Pelodiscus sinensis: one gene and its partner. The protein of the gene in region 1 interacts with the protein of each later gene in a biochemical or structural test. Links are inferred from orthologs where the notes say so. Each region holds a gene or a part of one and is shown in the gene's direction. Other genes may lie near its edges.

The links.
Region 2: the proteins of PAX3 (region 1) and SOX10 form a complex in vitro, tested with the Homo sapiens proteins (2 studies listed by BioGRID and IntAct). The link is inferred for Pelodiscus sinensis from reciprocal best matches to the Homo sapiens genes PAX3 and SOX10.

What each region holds. Positions count from the first base shown.
Region 1 is NC_134720.1:15,726,596-15,735,640, reverse strand, and holds the start of PAX3 (paired box protein Pax-3), read left to right. Parts: upstream 1-5,420; 5' UTR 5,421-6,169; coding exon 6,170-6,254; intron 6,255-7,636; coding exon 7,637-7,872; intron 7,873-9,045. UniProt on the Homo sapiens protein: Transcription factor that may regulate cell proliferation, migration and apoptosis. Involved in neural development and myogenesis. Transcriptional activator of MITF, acting synergistically with SOX10.
Region 2 is NC_134711.1:92,113,590-92,121,715, forward strand, and holds the start of SOX10 (transcription factor SOX-10), read left to right. Parts: upstream 1-4,288; 5' UTR 4,289-4,477; intron 4,478-5,462; 5' UTR 5,463-5,512; coding exon 5,513-5,922; intron 5,923-8,126. UniProt on the Homo sapiens protein: Transcription factor that plays a central role in developing and mature glia.

The sequences.
Region 1 (9,045 bases):
GGTGTTACTGTCTGAAGGCTATAAAAAGCAGCTACCCTGGTGCGCGTATATTTGCTATGGAAATTGCCTAATTCTAGAACTAGAGGAAAGCCCTACATCTCCTATCTCAGTCTATAGTTCACTAATCATTGCCTTGTGCGTAGGGTAGAATTTATCTTTCCCTGAGGACCTTTCATCTTTATTTCTCGCTAAAGACCAGATTCTGCTCCATTTACCTACCTCGAATAGCACTTGACTCCACATGTAAATGTCAGTGAAACCTTTTCTAATTATTTCTCAGCTGAAGAAGTGGGTTGCACCCACGAAAGCTCATGATACTGTTTATATATTGTTGTTAGTCTCTAAGGCGCGACAGATCATCGTTGGGTTTTTTCAGGGTTTTTATTTTATTTTTATTTTTTTTGTTACAGACTAACACGGCTACTCCTCTAAGCCATTTGTAAAGTAGATTCCTACTCCCATGCGAGTCTTGCTCTACATTGCTTTCTTTTTTTTGTTTGTTAATAGCAACACTTGTTGCACACAGTTTACTGCAGTTTTTTTTAAAGGAAGAAATTGGATTATGAATAGTTTTATCTGGTTTGTTAGTGAAATTTGCTGGTAGATTGTAGAAGATTCTTAATTTTCACTCCACAGTACACCATGTGTCATATTGTCTATCTATCTCTCAGCTCTGGATATTCTAGATTTCATTTATATGTAGTCCAAAGTCTAAGCCTGGCAAATGTTGAATATTCTTATAATATGAATCCCAAACTATTGGTCTCGTTTGTAAGTTTTTCTTCAATAAGGTTTTATTAGCTTAATTCTAGATTTTATGCAGTAAAATATATTCCCTTTGCCAGTAAGCAAACTCTTCCAATCGGGGGCTTTAATTCTTAATGTAGCAGAATAATGTCCAAGATCAGAAGTGCATCCTTTTCTCTGTGAATTTTAGCTTCTCTTTGGCTAACCACAGAAAATCCTCAACGTCTGATTTGGGACATCCTCAAATCAAGGAAAAAGTTCCATCCTTTATCCAAGATATATGTTTGTAAACTCCCAGAGAATAAATTTCCCTAGCTGGAAACAAAGCACCCTCTGTACCCCAAATTATGCTTTCTTTTATTGTGTCTGTTATGACTAGAAACACAAAAAGAACAAAACAACGGACATAAAGGGGGCGGGGAGTCACAAGTCTGGTCTCTCTCTTTCCTACTAAAAACTGATATCAAACAACAAAACCAGCAACAACAAACCTTCAAGAACCAAGTAAGGCAGAAACCATCAAATTCCTTTCAAAATCATCCGGACAGAAAGGTGACTTGCTCCTTCATGGACAATTTAGAACTACAATTTCACCTATGCATTTATTTCTGGAAATTATTGCCTGCTTTGCAATAAAATATGTTGCCAAAATATCAACTAAATATGAAGTGCAGAATGAAATCTTTCTTTCTTTCTTTCTTTCTTTCTTTCTTTCTTTCTTTCTTTCAAATTAATTTACACTTAAAATACATTTTACCACCGTGGAAGTAGTCCTATGGCGAATTCACGCTTAACAGTCTTCAGGAGAAATAAGAATAATAGCAATTCACACTACATTTGCAGAGCCCCGAACACATTATAATTGATTTTTTGTAATAGGGGAGAAAACAGTACTGTTATCATTCATAAATAATTGCCTCTGTTCCTAATAGCTCTAATTTTCACTGCCCATTTGATGTGCTGCAGGTTTAATATAGAGCATTTACTAATCCAATTAAAAGTGCACCTGGCCTGGAAGGGCTCTGTAATTAGCAGGAGTATTTTTAGCTATTTCCACTAGAAAACCGTGAAATCCTCTCTGCTGGGCTAAAAGACTCTAATATGGGGGGCTAGGCACTCATGTCTAATCATTTTGCTTGGAATTTTAACAGTTCCCAAGCAGGAGAAGATGAGGCACAATTTCGGCTTTTGTGATATTGATACCCACGAGCCGGACGGAGTCTGCAAATTCAGGCAAAACTCCCAGGGCAAGTGGCTTTTGAAATCATTTTCACGCTTCGTAGAGTTGATTCTGTCCCTTTGGAGTCAACGAGCATTTTGCTAGTGTTGTGATTGGGAAGCAGGATAGAACCCGGCGTCCATAACAGGTCGGGAAGGGCCTGATCCCGGCCCCATTCAAACCATGGAGCACTGCCATGGATTTCGGTGGCGGCAGGATCGGGCCCCGAAGCAATGCAACCAAGTAATTTCCTTTCCCCAAAGCCAACGGCGGTGTGTGATAAGAGCGTGCGGGAGGCTCCGCGTTTTATTTCCATCATACTATTTCTGAAGGGAAAATACTACCAGGGAGGAACTACAGCGAGTAAAGAGACAGCCCGGACGTGCCCCTGAAATGCTTCATTGCCTTTACTTCGCTGGAGTGGAGCGTCTTGTTAGTCCTCGTTTCCTTCCCTTTCCTAAGTTTGGGTTGGGGGGGGCGGCGCATCCCCGAGAACCCGTTTAATGGCATGCCCTGAAAGAAGCATCTAAGAAAGACGAGTGCATTTCCCGTAGAGTGCATTTCCCCATGCAGGGTACAGGAACATTGGGTCTGTTTCCTGCTATGGGGAAATCCATAGGCCTGGCTCTGAGGTGCAATAGGCTCTGAGGTCTGTAACACGCGCCCCCTCGAAACTCCCCCTATTTCAAGAAAAAAAATCTGTTGGCTGGAACACACGGGCCGCGTGCAGGCTTGGGGCTGTATTGCTCGCCGGAGATCGCTTGGTAAGCCTGTGGGCCTTAAAGGGGGGGGAGTAGTTTTCCAGTTGCCAGGTCCAACTCCAGCCAGCCTCTTTGCTTTATGTAAGCGTTGGGCTCAGGCGCATGTAAACCGAGCCGTGCCACTGCGGAGCGACGGGCTAATGGTTCTGGTCCAGAGGCCCAATTTACTGCAGTTGGCACAGCCCCCCCCACAAAACAACTGGCTTCCTGGGTGGGAAAAGCTCCATAATGGGGGCCTGGCTAGGTAGGAAAGATGAGGAGAGGGTTTTTTATCCTGAAGTGGCTGGGGTGGGGCGGGGGTCCAGAGCCCACTGTTGTTTGCGGTGGCTGTAGTCGGCCACAAACCAGGAAAGGCAGGGAGTGTTGGAGGAACAGGGATGATGTCAGCTATGGGGAGAGGGACCCTCCAGAGGTGGGGTAGCAACGGGTTTGGTCAAGTAACCCCCTAAGTCAATCCCTTGGGCACCCTCATCTGGCACACAGACAGGTGGTGAGTTCAGCTAGTTTCCTACATGGACGCTCAAGCATGGGCGGGTTGTATGAGGGCGAGCAAAGGGAAGTTAACCCTTCTGGGGGGTAATCCCACTGGCTTCAATTGGTGCCAAATGGACCCCTGATCATTGTAGATTTACCGAAGCAGCAATGACTGTCAGCAAATGCATTCTCCCGCCCCCAAGACGGCCTGGGATTCGACCTCTCTCCTGCTACCAGCTGAAGAGCTATCCGGAGCCACCGCTAAGTCCACATACACACTCGCAGGGTAGGGTCAAAAGAAAAACGTGTGTGTGTGTGTGGTGGGGGGGGGGGGGGGAATGAAACAATGTAGTTCAGACATTTCACACCTATCATTGCAGCGTAGCGACCCCCCCTTCTTTTTTAGAATATATGTCTTACACTGCAGACTTAACTTGCAGATTCAGGTGCTAAAATCACTGCTCTGTACTTCATCAGCAATGTGACTATCATATCCGCATGCACTTTCCGGTGGCACGTCTCTGCAATGTACAATTGCTCGGGAGGTCAATATGTTGAAAGCCTGGATATTATGAAATATTGTAGTCTCTTTACTACTGAACAGCTTAGTCCGCATGCACACACTTTTTTAGCTTTAGCTTTTTTTTTTTCCAAGCACGATTCAACGTTTAAAATAAAACAACATATTTCCCCCATATCCATTTTAAGAATCTAAAATTAAATGTCAAATCACGTGGCCAAATTAAACTGTAGCTTTCCTAGAAAGTTTCCAAAAGTTTCAGTGTTAAAACATTTTAATGTTATCTTATGCATTCAACATATGACCATGCATAAGTACTGCAATGTAGGGGGAAATATAAATAGCTATGAAAAAGCAAAGTAATCCAGTTTTTTACATACAGCCTCAATTTGTCCTCTCAGTATTTTAGGTAGAAATAAACAATGAAATACTTCGATAGCAGAAGATATTACTTTTTTTTATTCCGCAAACTTAACCTGCTTTTTAAAAAATATTTTCTTATCGGCTCTATTCCCAAATTTCAGACGGAGTCCAGAGGGACTTAACAATTTTTAAATGGTGCGTTTTAAAAGTGATCTCGTTTATTTTATTTCTGATATGCAGGGTCTGAGAGTGCGGAATCAACAGCCTGGAACCTGGTAAACAACTAGGAGCCAGATAACTAATCGTGATGGCATTTGCGTGACTCTAGTTTAAATTACTGTCTATTTGTTAATTATGAGAGCATCGAGGCGGGGTTCTTTCTTTACATCTTCCACGCTGAACTACGTTCATTTTGCTGTCTAAAACTCTTTCTGCGGTGCCCTTTTGTTTTCACTGAGCAAAGTCTGAGACCTGTGGCTTCTTCATGGTTTATTTTATTTTGCAGGCTGATGCAGCTGATGAGTGATACATTTTTAAACTAACATTAATCCCCAAAGAGAACGGAATCAGCAACAGAAACATTCCCAAAATCGTAAAGGGAAAGGGGGAACTTTAAGCCTAGAACTCATTGTTCCCTTTATTTCAAAGGGGGGGAAACCTGAACGATTCTCATCCTTTTGATTGATTAAGGTCTTGAATAACTTGAGGCTGGAGAGTGACAGTTACTGAATAGACTATTGCAAATAAAGAGCACTGTGCAAAGCCGGGCTGGCACTTCAGAGTGCAAAGGAGGCGAGTTTGCTGGCACTTACCAAGTTATAAATAAAAGGACATGCACAATAGTACCTTCTTTAAGGACAGACAGTCTTTACAACACTCCTGGCGTCATATCCTGCTGTGGTCACTTCAGCTCCTAGTCAGACTTTACTTCTTTTATTTTTCCAGCAGTTTAGTTTGAATACTACAATAAATTCCTGGGAACAAATGCTTGCTAGCAAGACTTACTTTAACACACACAAATATATAACGTAGGGCCACATCTTGCCATCCGTTTTTTAAAGCAGAAATTCCCAATGGGAACAATGGAGACTTGGGCTTAAAAACCAGATAGCGCCGTTCGCTCCATAGACACCCCCCCCCCCATTGCTACTGATTTCAGTGGAGGGAGGGAGAGAGGGGACAGTTTTATTCCTCCCTTCACACATCCTCTGAGAAGATGTGCTGGAAAGAGGCAGACAAAGAACTGTACCAATAGACACACCACTTCCCCTTTCATTTTTCGCAGGCTGTTTGACCAGGACCACATACAGCTCTGTATTTCTCTAATCCCCCCAGGAAAGAAAAGGTGACCAGAGAGACCGACTTCAAGAAATGCAAGTGTCTGGTTGCTTCCTTATTGTAATCTCCTTCAAGTGGCATGGTGCCAAGACAGTTGTAAAAGGGATGAACAATTTCCCCAGTGAAGGCTGCTTTCTCCCCTGCTTCTGCATTTTCTCCTGCCCAGCCATTCTATGAAAGAACACTTTATCAAGAGAAGAGGCAATGCCTGGGTCACACTCCTAGTTTGAGGCCTCGATTGTAATGATGAGAAGAGAAAGTTGAAGATTTCACCCAATCAGCTCCTGTCTTCTCCAGACGGGACAGTCTCCCGGCTGGCCAATCGCAGCTCAGAGATCCTGCTGAAGCTTTGGGGAAAGAACTAATAAATACTCCAGAGCAGAGTTCCTTTCACTCTGTATCAACAACAGGAAGAAATCATTCCTGCCCCCTCCCCCTTTTCATATGAAAGTGCGTTCATCTTCCCACAGGGGCCAGCAGCCGTCTCAGCGCCTTCCCGCCACTTGTATGCAAGTTTCCCCTCCTCGCCCCAAACTTTGCTTTCCTTTCTTTCCCCTTGTCAGTCTCTCTCCCCTTTGCTTTGGGATATCACGTCTTGTTGACAAAAGGAGAGCAAGTCGCTTCCCCCCGCCCCGGCTACCCCCTCCCTTTTTTCCAGGACTTTTCCACTGGGATCTATTGCCAGAGCTGATCTCTCGTTTATCAGCATTTACCTGGATATAATATTCAAGTAACGCTGCGTACAACATGACAACTCTAGCTGGAGCTGTCCCAAGAATGATGCGACCAGCTCCCGGGCAGAACTACCCTCGCAGCGGATTTCCATTAGAAGGTAGGAAGGCTGTCTAGATGCATGATGCTTTTTTTTAACTCTCTATGCATGTGTGTGTTGCTGAGAAACTTTTTGTCACCCAACGCTGTGCAGTAGTTACTTAGATTAAATCATAGATTAGAACTGAACTGAAACTGCACACGGTTAGAGCAAGAAAAAACCCTCCTCCTAACAACTTGGAAGAGTGCTCAGAGAAACTCCATTTCACTATCTACACACCAATAAACGTGCATTGTTTGCATTAACATTCTCCACATAAGCGATGCACGGATTCTGCGTTGAAGACAACACTGTAAATTAGAGCGCCGGAATAAATTTACGGGGAGGGAAGCAGAACCTGTTGATAGGGGTTCTGTCTTCTTAATTTGGGATCCGATCCCGCATACCTTACTCAGAGAAAACGCCCACGGATACCAATGGACAGTGAGCCTGAACAAGGTTTGCGATATTCGGTTCTAAATCGCTTCGGATCCTCAGCGAGTTGGGGGACGGGGATGCTTGAGAGCATTGAAACGGGCTTTTAGACACCAGCCCACTTCCCGTGTCCTCCTGGAGTAGGCTGTCTCTCTCACGTTTTTGTTTTTGATTAAAGTTTCTCTGGTTTGTGTGAAAACGGTGAAAGGAGCGCTGAGGGTGAAATGAAAAGAGAATGAAACAAGAACCTAATAATTTTAGAGTTGCGGAAATTTGCAAACGCGTAAAATGTTATAATAACAAGAAGCACATCGGAATTCCGTAGTCCAAATCCTTTAAAAGATTCCTCTGGGAGTTTTATGATTTCCCCCTTTTCACTTCTGCTAGTAGCGGTTAATTCAAGTAGGTAGTACAAGTCTTCCCAGTGGTAAATGATGGAGAGTGCAACAGGTGAACAATTTACGCTTGTTTTCTCCTTCAGTCTGTTTTACAGACAGACAGATTAGATTAGATTAGATTAGATTAGATTAGATTAGATTAGATGAATGGAGTCACATATCCCAGAAATTGTAAGGGCGCTCAATTCCCGCCCTAACAGGAAGGACCCCGTGGTAACTGTGTAACTAGCCTGAGAATACAATGTCATCTGGCTCCTGAAGTTGCATCTGGAATTAGTCGGGTTTAACGTTTCCATTCTCTGAAGGCGCGCTCTGTTGATGAATCTGAAACATTATTTAACCGGTGGGGGCGAAAATGACACTCAGCTGTCAGCTACTGCTTCTAGCTCGCCTCCCAAAGCTTCTAACCATCCCAGAACTGTCCAGCCAGGCAACCTGGCACTAACCTGGTGCAGGGATGGAGCGGATGAACTTGCGTATGTTTGGGTGTATGTGGCTGGGTGACTGACGAAAAGTCGCGGCTGCCTGTGAAACACACACATCAGTAACTCCGCTTCCCTTTCTTTCTAGTGTCCACTCCTTTAGGCCAAGGCAGAGTCAACCAGCTCGGTGGAGTTTTTATCAATGGCAGGCCTTTGCCCAACCACATCCGACACAAGATCGTGGAGATGGCCCATCACGGGATCCGGCCCTGTGTCATCTCTCGCCAGCTGCGCGTGTCCCACGGCTGCGTCTCCAAAATCCTGTGCAGGTACCAGGAGACTGGCTCCATCCGGCCGGGGGCCATCGGGGGCAGCAAACCCAAGGTGAGGAGATCAGGTGCAGTGGCTCTGCGTTTAGGTCCCTGCCCTGCCAGGTGTAAGCTACTTCGATTTCAGCGAGAACGGAGGGCGCTCAGAACCTTGAAAGATGGGGGGAACGGGAGAGAGACCACTGTGCTTTTGCGGTGATTGGGAAAGGATGCACATAGGAGCGTTATTGGGGCTAGTAAACTTGACACAAGCCTGGTCCTGGCTAAGGGTTTGCAGGTGGCAGCATCTGGGGAGTCAGTGTACTGTATTTAATATGAGACAAAATGCAGCCAAAGGCTGCATAATTGTCTGTGCCCATGTAAACACCTTAGTAATCAACACACCTGTCCATATGCGTGTGCAGGGACACACACACACACACTCTCTCTCTCTCTTGTATGTAACCCCCAACCTGTTTCTGTAACTCCCTAAAATACTTAAGCGTTTAGTTTTCAAAATACCAGAAACTAATCAAAGCCTGATCCTGCAAGCTCTTATTCCCCTGAATGGCCCCTGCATAGGCTACCCCCCCCCCCCAAAAAAAAACCTGTAGGAGCCGGTTAAGGGTGGAGCATTTCCAGGGTGGCTGGTCCAGGTTGAGGAAGTTGGTCTCGCCATTGAGTCAGGATCCGAGAGCTGGAGAATTAACAGGATCGGGGCCTATATTCTGTTTTTTTTTTAGCATGTTGCTGTATCCTTATCTAGCACTGTAGCTAGCTCCTGTCATAGCTGTCTTCCCAACTTACACATACATGTACCCTAAGACTCAGGAATAGCCATGTTAAAACTCTGCGAGTTTCTTCACGAAGCTGATGGATTTCCACTTCATACAGCTAAATGAAGTGATACTGAAAAGAGTGTGTATACAGGCTAACATAGATCCTCTGACAAATATTAACTTGTTTGCATTTTTATATATATTCCTCTCCCCCCCAAAAAGTTTTCTTTCTTTCTTTCTTTCTTTCTTTCTTTCTTTCTTTCTTTCTTTCTTTCTTTCTTTCTTTCTTTCTTTCTTTCTTTCTTTCTTTCTTTCTTTCTTTCTTTCTTTCTTTCTTTCTTTCTCCTTTAAGGTAAAGATTAATAAACGTATTTAGTCTAAATGTTAGAATAAATTACTTTGTGTATTTTTACAGGCATATTATCTGGAAAATTATTTCTAGTTCGGATTACCTGGGTTTTTAATTCAAC
Region 2 (8,126 bases), on another chromosome or scaffold:
GTGTGTGTTTTCCAGTGTCTGTTCCCCCCACTCTGACGCTGTTTTATTGTATGGAAAGATTTCACTGTGAGCTCCTCCCATTTTCCCATGCAGTCCCAGGACAATACCAGTCCTGTGCCCCTGAGAAGGGATATGGCACAAAAACAGCCGCTGTCATACTTACCCGGATTGCTGCTGGAGTGAAGCAGCTCAGGTATTTGTGGTGCATATATGATCACATGGCACAAGCTTGCTCTGGAACTTGAAGGAGAGGTTGGTTAAGAAGAAGTGCAGCCCTTATGCACCCAGAGCTTTCTTTGAAACAGCATCCCCAGACTTCTTGCTCTTCTTTCCCTCACCTCCTTGCTGCAAGGAGACTTCTTTTCCATCCCCCTACTTCAGACACACTCTTCCTCCTTCATGGGTCACATCCCAATAGAACTCTTATTCTTCCTGTCCTAGTCACCCACCAGATAGACACTTCAACTACCATGGAGTTGTCCCAGGGATGAATTTGTCTCTTGGTATCTCATCCATTTACTACTGCATTGTAACTACTCAGACCACTGAGCCTGGAGCCTGCCTTCAGACCTTCCTTTTGGACTTGTAGATGGCTCACCTATTCTTCTAGTCTTGATCCTTAATGCTTGGCTAAAAACAACAATATGGCCCCTATTACTATAGTATCCGAGTGCATCAGTCTTAATATATTCATCCACACAATACTTCTGTGAGGCATGGAAGTGCCATAATCCTCATTTGCAGATGGGAAATTGAGGCATGGAGCAACTTAGTCACTTACCCAAGGTTACACTGGAAGTCTGTGACACAGCAGGGTTCCCTGAGTCCCAGGCCAGTGGACTAACGGCTGGGCTACGATCCCTAGACTAAAACAAGTTTGAGACCCAGAAATCTTAGCTTTACAGAGATAATGAAAAAACATCATTTAACTTGGAAACGGGGATGGAAACCTTAAAGAGATTGCTGCCCGGGTACCTATTGGCTATGGTACTCTATGCAGAACCCAGGGGATCCTTATCCTTACAAAGATCAGTGCTGAAATTTACCAGATGTGATAGGAGATGTCTTGGCCATACACTATGTCCACACAGGAGCTCAAAAGTGTCATTTCCATCCTGAACAGAAAACCACGCTAGCTCTGATCAAGCTAGAGTGCTAAAACTAGAAGCGTTGCTGCAGCAGTGTAAGAAGTCAGAGGGACTAGTCAATCAAATAGGTATGTATGGTCTCGGAAGGTATCATATATGGGGCTGACAGCCCATCCTGCTACTCACACTGTATCAGCTATGCTTCTATTCTTTGTACGATAGCTTAATGAGAGTTAGAGTGGCTATCTCTGCTCCAGTTGGAAATTACACCTTGCAGCTGCCAAACCCGTTCATCTGAAGATAAAAAAGTGTCACCCACAATGATTCCTTGCAGAGAGATGGGTGCTGGTCTTCTCCCACTCTGCATCCTCTCATCTCAGTTAGAGAAATGATGCCACACCTTCAGCCACCCTGATACTTCCCACCATGCTGCCTTGATGCAATAGGAAAAGTTGGCAGGGCAGGAAATTAGGCTGAAATACTTGTGCTGCTCTCCAGTCTTTGAGGTACTTTGGGGGAGGGGAGAGGGAATCTGAAACGCAGAAGTGAAGGAAAACCAAAACACAAAAGATTTGGTCTCTTTGTCCCAGCACTGGGAAGGGTCAGTGTGTGCTCCCCACCCGCAAGTCCCTAGGGACACATAAGCATTGAAGAGGTGGGATCTCCAATCCCATCATCTCCCCTAGATTTAAGTGGGGTTCTCTTAGAGCAGGAGCTTCAATCCTCGAGTGCCTTATTCCCTACAGCTTTGCTACCAGGTCCTTGTAATCCCATTCTTGGGGGGAAAAAAAATCTCTTCCCCATTCTCTCTGTCTCCTGGGGTCAGCAGGATCCTGCACCTGGAGGGATGGGAAACAAATGCCCCATCTTATTGTATCCTGCTTTGCCCTTCCCCCATCCCAGGTTGGTATTAACTGCAGACAGGGGAACAATTAGGCCAGTGTTTCTCAGCCGTGGCTACCTCCCCATGGGACCAGGAGACAATCCCCTCCTCCTCCCTCAGGCTGTTCCTCTTCTCCATGGAGATTCCTGGATCCCTCACACAGGCTCTTGTCAGCCTAATGATGAACCATACTGACTAAAGAAGAGGTGCTCAGTTCAGCAAAGTCTGTGTGATACAGCAACACTGCACCTAGGGTGCCTTGATGATTATTATTGCTCTTGGGAAGAGGCCACCTGCCCCGGTTCTTTTTCCTTTAGTGGGGCAGTTTTAGCAGGTCATGAAAATCCCAATGAAGAGAAGATAAAAATGCCAAAAAATTCTTGTAAGACCAATGGGACTTCTCCTCACAGCCCACCAGAATGTCTGCAGGGAATACACATGTAGAGTGTCTTGCCAATAGGGGAGCGCACCCGTGTGAAAATGCCTGGGTCTCGCCTCACCAGCACCTGCACCATTTTAATCTAGGAATCAGGGCCTGAGATTTCTCCCCTGGGATCTCAACTGGGAAGTGTGTATATGAGGGGAAGGGGGGCTTACACACCTCACCTTCCCAGAGAAGATGGGACAGTACTAGGAAAGGTGCCATAAGTCCTCGTGTTACTTAGGTAGGAGAGAATCACCAGATTCTTGGCTTGGGCTTTTTTCACACAGACAGACAAACAGTAGTGGAGGAGAGGAGAGAGAAAGAGTTAAAATCAGCCTCCTGGTGGGGAGTTATTTGGTGCCACACCCCACCCAGAGAGCTGCCCTTTGGAGTATCTGAATACTACACACATGCCAAGTACTTGCTGTCAGTGAACCTGGCTTCATTAAGCTTTCAACATAGACTTCTTCTTTGGGCTCTAAAGCAGCTGTCCTTGGTGCCACTCTGGTTCTGGCCCTCACCACGTTGGATATTGTAGCTCAAATGCTCACCACCTGTCAGTGGTATTATTTCCCTGTCTCTTCGTGTGGCCATTATTTACTCAGTCATTCCATCACTGGGTCTTCTAGTGAGCCAAGCTCTGCTCCGGAGGTTCATAATGTCCTTAGAACTCCTTTGATGGAATTCTGTCCATGTCTCACCACAACTCGGCCTTTCTTCACACTGTAATTCCTGGCCCAGCACTGAAACACGTCCACGCTGACACACTATTCAGACTCCATGCCTAACGTTCTGGGCTGGGCTGGTTGGTACCACCAGACGGTATGGAAAGGCTGGTTCCAAGTCTTGAAATCTTTGCAGAGGGAATCCTGAATGGATACGTCACTGGGTTTTCAGCCACATGGGTGAGACAGAAAGTGATATTAGGAATCCAAAGAACAAAGTATTCTGGGAGGTTAATAGGAGAGAAAACAAAATGTGTAATGGAAAATATACTAATCCACGCTACCATGTATATCTTATGTGATCCAATGCACACGTGGGGGAGCGGGGAGGGTCAGATAATGAGAGTCAGAGAGTTCTTTCTGCAACTCCTGAGAATCCCCCTTCCTCACCACCATCCTTGTGTTGACAAGTCATAGAAGTGGTCCAGTCCTGCTTCCTATGTGACCAGAACCTGGGGTGTCTGCCACAAAACACTCCTAACACCGTATTGGCATGTAAGTGCTGGGTCAGTCCCATCTTAGGGGCAAAGGAGCACAAGTGAGGGAGTCAAACCCATGTCTTCTGCATGGTCACAAAGTATTAATCCCCCAAACCTTGTCATGTATCTAGAACACATCACCCCCAGGAAGCTCCTGGGTTATTCCCAGCCCTCACTAGCCTTATAGAATAAAAAACCAGGAGTGAGCATTTTGAATCTGGGCCTCCTTTATAGGACAGCAATAACCCACATTATACCAGACCTGTCCTCTGCAGTGCACACAGGTCCTGCTGGTCCTTGGGCAGCTGTGACTAGAACCTACCACTCCATGCTAACTCCTAGGTCACCAGGCCTGGCCCCTAGAAAAAAACCTGTTGGCTGAGGGCAAGAGAGACCAGGCAAGGAACTTAAACCCAGTCTTCTTAGATAACAGAACAGACCCCCTCACTATCCATGGCATAAACCACATCCTATTTTAATTCCCCAGGAGGGGGAAAAAATAAAATAAAAGTAGACTGCAGCGTTCCTGGAGAAGCCTGCACTCAAGAAAGCGAGGAGCATGCATATGCTGAGTTGGAGATTGGGGGGGGGGCTGTTAAGGTTCCCTCCCTGCCTGCATCAAATCAATGTATTCCAGTTATAAAGAGTGCTTAGCTCCACCTTCTGCCCTTCCCTCCCCCAGTGCTAAGCAGCAAGCCAGTCAGAGAGACATCCAGCCAGAGGATTAGTAAAAACCAAGTCTCCCTCTAGGAATGGCACTCGTCTGAGAGTCTCCTCCACGCAGGGCTCCTGTTCACTGCCAGCACTCTGAGAGAACAGAGGGGCTATTGGGATACAAATTACAGCCCTCTCAGGATTTGCCAGGCAGACCAGCCAACGTAAGTTTTCCTACCTGAACTCACTCACATGCTCACTCTCTTTTTCTACCTTCTATTACTTTTTCAGTTTTTTCTACAGGAAAAATCCTTGCCTGCCTCACTAGGGGAGCGGGCAGCTAATAACCCTACTCCCTATTGGATCCATTTGCTACTAAAGCAGGGGAGACAAATTTTTCTATCCACTTTTTTTTGGGGGGGGACTTTATTTTTTGAGCATTTCCTTCTTAAGGTGGAGAGACTGGTGCATGGTGGCAGAGATGTTTGGTGGTGGCCGCAGAGAGCAAGAGAGAGAGATGGGGTGGGGGAGATGTGTGAAACTGGCAAATTAAAGACTTGGCTTTGCCAGAGAGGCTTAAAAAGAAATATATACCTGTATATAAAGTGTTAGCGTTTCCACTCACAGACTTTCTCAGTCCGCATCAGCTACCTAACCCGGTAATTCAGGGGTGCGCTTGGGATTTGCCTCTAACTCAGCCATTCTCACTAAACTTTCTCCTGCCATTCTGAGACCTCTTCATTTTGATTTATTAATACAGAAGCCACTGGTTTCCCCTCCCTCCCCCCCATCTCTGTTCCTGGTCAGACTTTCAATATAGGTTTTAAATAGAAAGTGTCATCACCAAGGGCCAAATTTTGGGGGGCCCTATGGAGGATTATTCTTAGAGAATGGGGTGTATTTTGCCTTGATCTTTCCTTTTCCACTCTATGCCACCAATGTGCTCAGCTAGCAGCAGGCACCTCCATATGCCCACATTAAACTCCAGAAAAGAGCACAGATCGGGAGCTTCCAATTAATCAGGATCCCCGCCCCCACTCGATCATGGGTTTCATGGGTCCTGTGAGCTGCACGTATGGCAGCGCCTTTGATTTGCTTGTATCAAGTGGTTCCCATCCTGTGGCCAGTACTGTGAGAGGTTCAAATCTTTTTAGTTTGGGTGTTTGGTTTTTCTTTTTTTTTTCCTTTTTCTTTTTTTTTCCTTTCCAGTGGGAAGACGGGATATTGAGACAGGAGAGAGAGCAAGGGCAAAAGACATAATGACAGATGACCAAGACCTTTCAGAGGTAGAAATGAGCCCAGTGGGTTCTGAAGAACATCACTGCCTCTCACCGGGACCTTCCATGACATCAGATACCACCTCTCATCTTACCAGCTCTGGGAGCGGAGAGATGGGAAAGGTCAAGAAGGAGCAGCAAGACTCAGAGACGGACGACGATAAGTTCCCCGTGTGCATCCGGGAGGCAGTGAGCCAGGTGCTGAGTGGTTACGACTGGACCCTGGTGCCCATGCCTGTGCGGGTCAATGGGAGCAACAAAAGCAAACCCCACGTCAAACGGCCCATGAATGCCTTCATGGTGTGGGCACAGGCTGCCCGCCGGAAACTGGCTGACCAGTATCCTCACCTCCACAATGCAGAGCTCAGTAAGACTCTCGGGAAGCTCTGGAGGTAAGGAGGGCAGAAGGGTGAGGGCAAATGCAATCAGAGAGAGGCTGCATGTCAAGGTGAATGCTGGGAACAGAATGAGATTAAAAGGGCATCTATTAAATTCCCAACACGGGGGAAGATCACAGGGGTAAGGGAAAAGTACAGGAAAGCAAAGAACCAGCAATGATTTTTAGCATCAGCTATTTGGCGAGCTTCCTCTGCAAAGCTCTGCCCATGCTGCTCAGTCTTGACCTGCAGCCCCCACCTGGCTATACCACTCTCCCCCAGCATACCTCATTCTGGCCTGTCGAACCCCTTGTGACTCCAGTCCTAGGCCTCTCCTGAGGCTCAGGTACCTGAGTGTGTGTGTGTGTGTGTGTGTGTGTGTGTGTGAGAGAGAGAGAGAGAGAGAGAGAGAGAGAGAGAGAGAGAGAGAGAGAGAGAGAGAGAGGAGAAATCACCGTCTACAAGGATTGACTAGGCTGACTCCCTCCAACCTCTTTACACTCATGATTTCCTAAGGGCAATTGGAACAAGGTCTGGGAGGGCATGTCTACACAGCAGGGTTATTTCGGAATAATGGATGTTATTCTGAAATAACGTAGTGTGCGTCTACTCAGCAAGCCCGTTATTTCAAAATAAATTCAAAATAACGGGCTTCTTACTCCGACTTCTGTAAACCTCATGGTAGGAGTAAGAGAAGTCGGTGGAAGAGTGTTCTATTTCGAAATAAGCGCTATGTAGACACGCCCAAATTCAAAATAAGCTATTTTGACTTACGCTACCTGGAGATAACAGACTGGAAGGTCTTAACACCCAGAGCGCTATCTAGTGGGTTGGACTCTTGTTTATGACAAAGTCAAGAGAGAGCAAAGTAGCCAGGCAGTGATACCCAACCACACATCCCACCCAAAGAATGCTTTCTCTGATAGCCACTCACAGACTCAGCTAGCTGCTGGTTCTAGATTCCGCCAAGATGTCAATTTAAAATTAGCAACACATGGATTGCACAAGAGGGGCAGGAATGGGCTATCCCAGCAGAAAGTGGTGAAAACTAGAGAACAGTGAGGGATGGTGGAGAGAAGGGGCAGTTAGAAAAAGACTCCCACCGATGTACTGAGTATGCCTTGCCATTCACAGCTTTTTATGGCTGAACATTACTGTTTGTGTCTTATCAGACTGAAGGGGCTGCAACTCTGCCCCTGTGTGCAGGCCTGTGGCATGCAGTAAATAAGGAATAACAGTAACTCAGTAGCCATTCCTGTAGCGAGTTGGCACAGGCTGACACAAGCTTCCCACTCGCACTTTACACACTTACATGCTCATCCCTTGTACCCACACTACCCTTCAGTTTGTGAAAGCCATTTTAATTGTGGGTCCTTTCCCTGTCCTCCCTGCCCCCAGGATCCTTACTTAAGTCATCCCCTCTGGGACTGATAGGTTCTGCCAAGAGATGAGGCTGGAGGGACCACATATCACTCATGTGACACAAGGCATGATGGTTTCCATGAATGACTCCAGCAAATGATTATAAACACCCCACTCTCACCACGATTGTCCAAGATACATCCCGTCCCTCACCATCATTTCTCTGCCTGGTGCCTCCCATCCCAAATCAAGACCCCATCAGCTTCATGTGAATGGCCCTGGAATTCCACAGAGATAGAATAGGCCCCCTTTCATACCCTGCCCTTCCCTGGCACTGCCCTTGACAGGAGATGCTCACCTGCTGAATGGGGCAGGAGATGTCTCCTGAGAACAGCAGCAGCGAGACCAGACATTTCTCCAGAATAGAAGCAAACTCATGACCATCCCATTGCCACTTGTGGCTCAATTCTCACACTGATGTCCATCAGCTCCACCTGTGTGGGAGCATTAAGCCCCTGGGCATTGGCTTCTCCCTTGAGCACATCAAGAAGTTTATCCAAACCCCTCTGCCTTTCATGGAACTCAAGCAATATGATTCCCTTGGAGAATGACAGCAGGGAATTGTGGTGGGCCTCAAATCTGATTCCCATGCCTGGGTGTTTTTAACCCTTCCCATTTCCATCTCCCTCTGCCTTTTCCATGATTTCTCCAATCTCATGCTCATCTTTGGATACCATGCAGAATGATGATCCCAGTTAATTTGCATTGCACTAATCATCCCTGTTGCCTCCTTTCCGGTAGGAAAGTGACTGTGCCGAGCATATATCCTGGCTCTCATTTACTCTCTCCCACTTTGG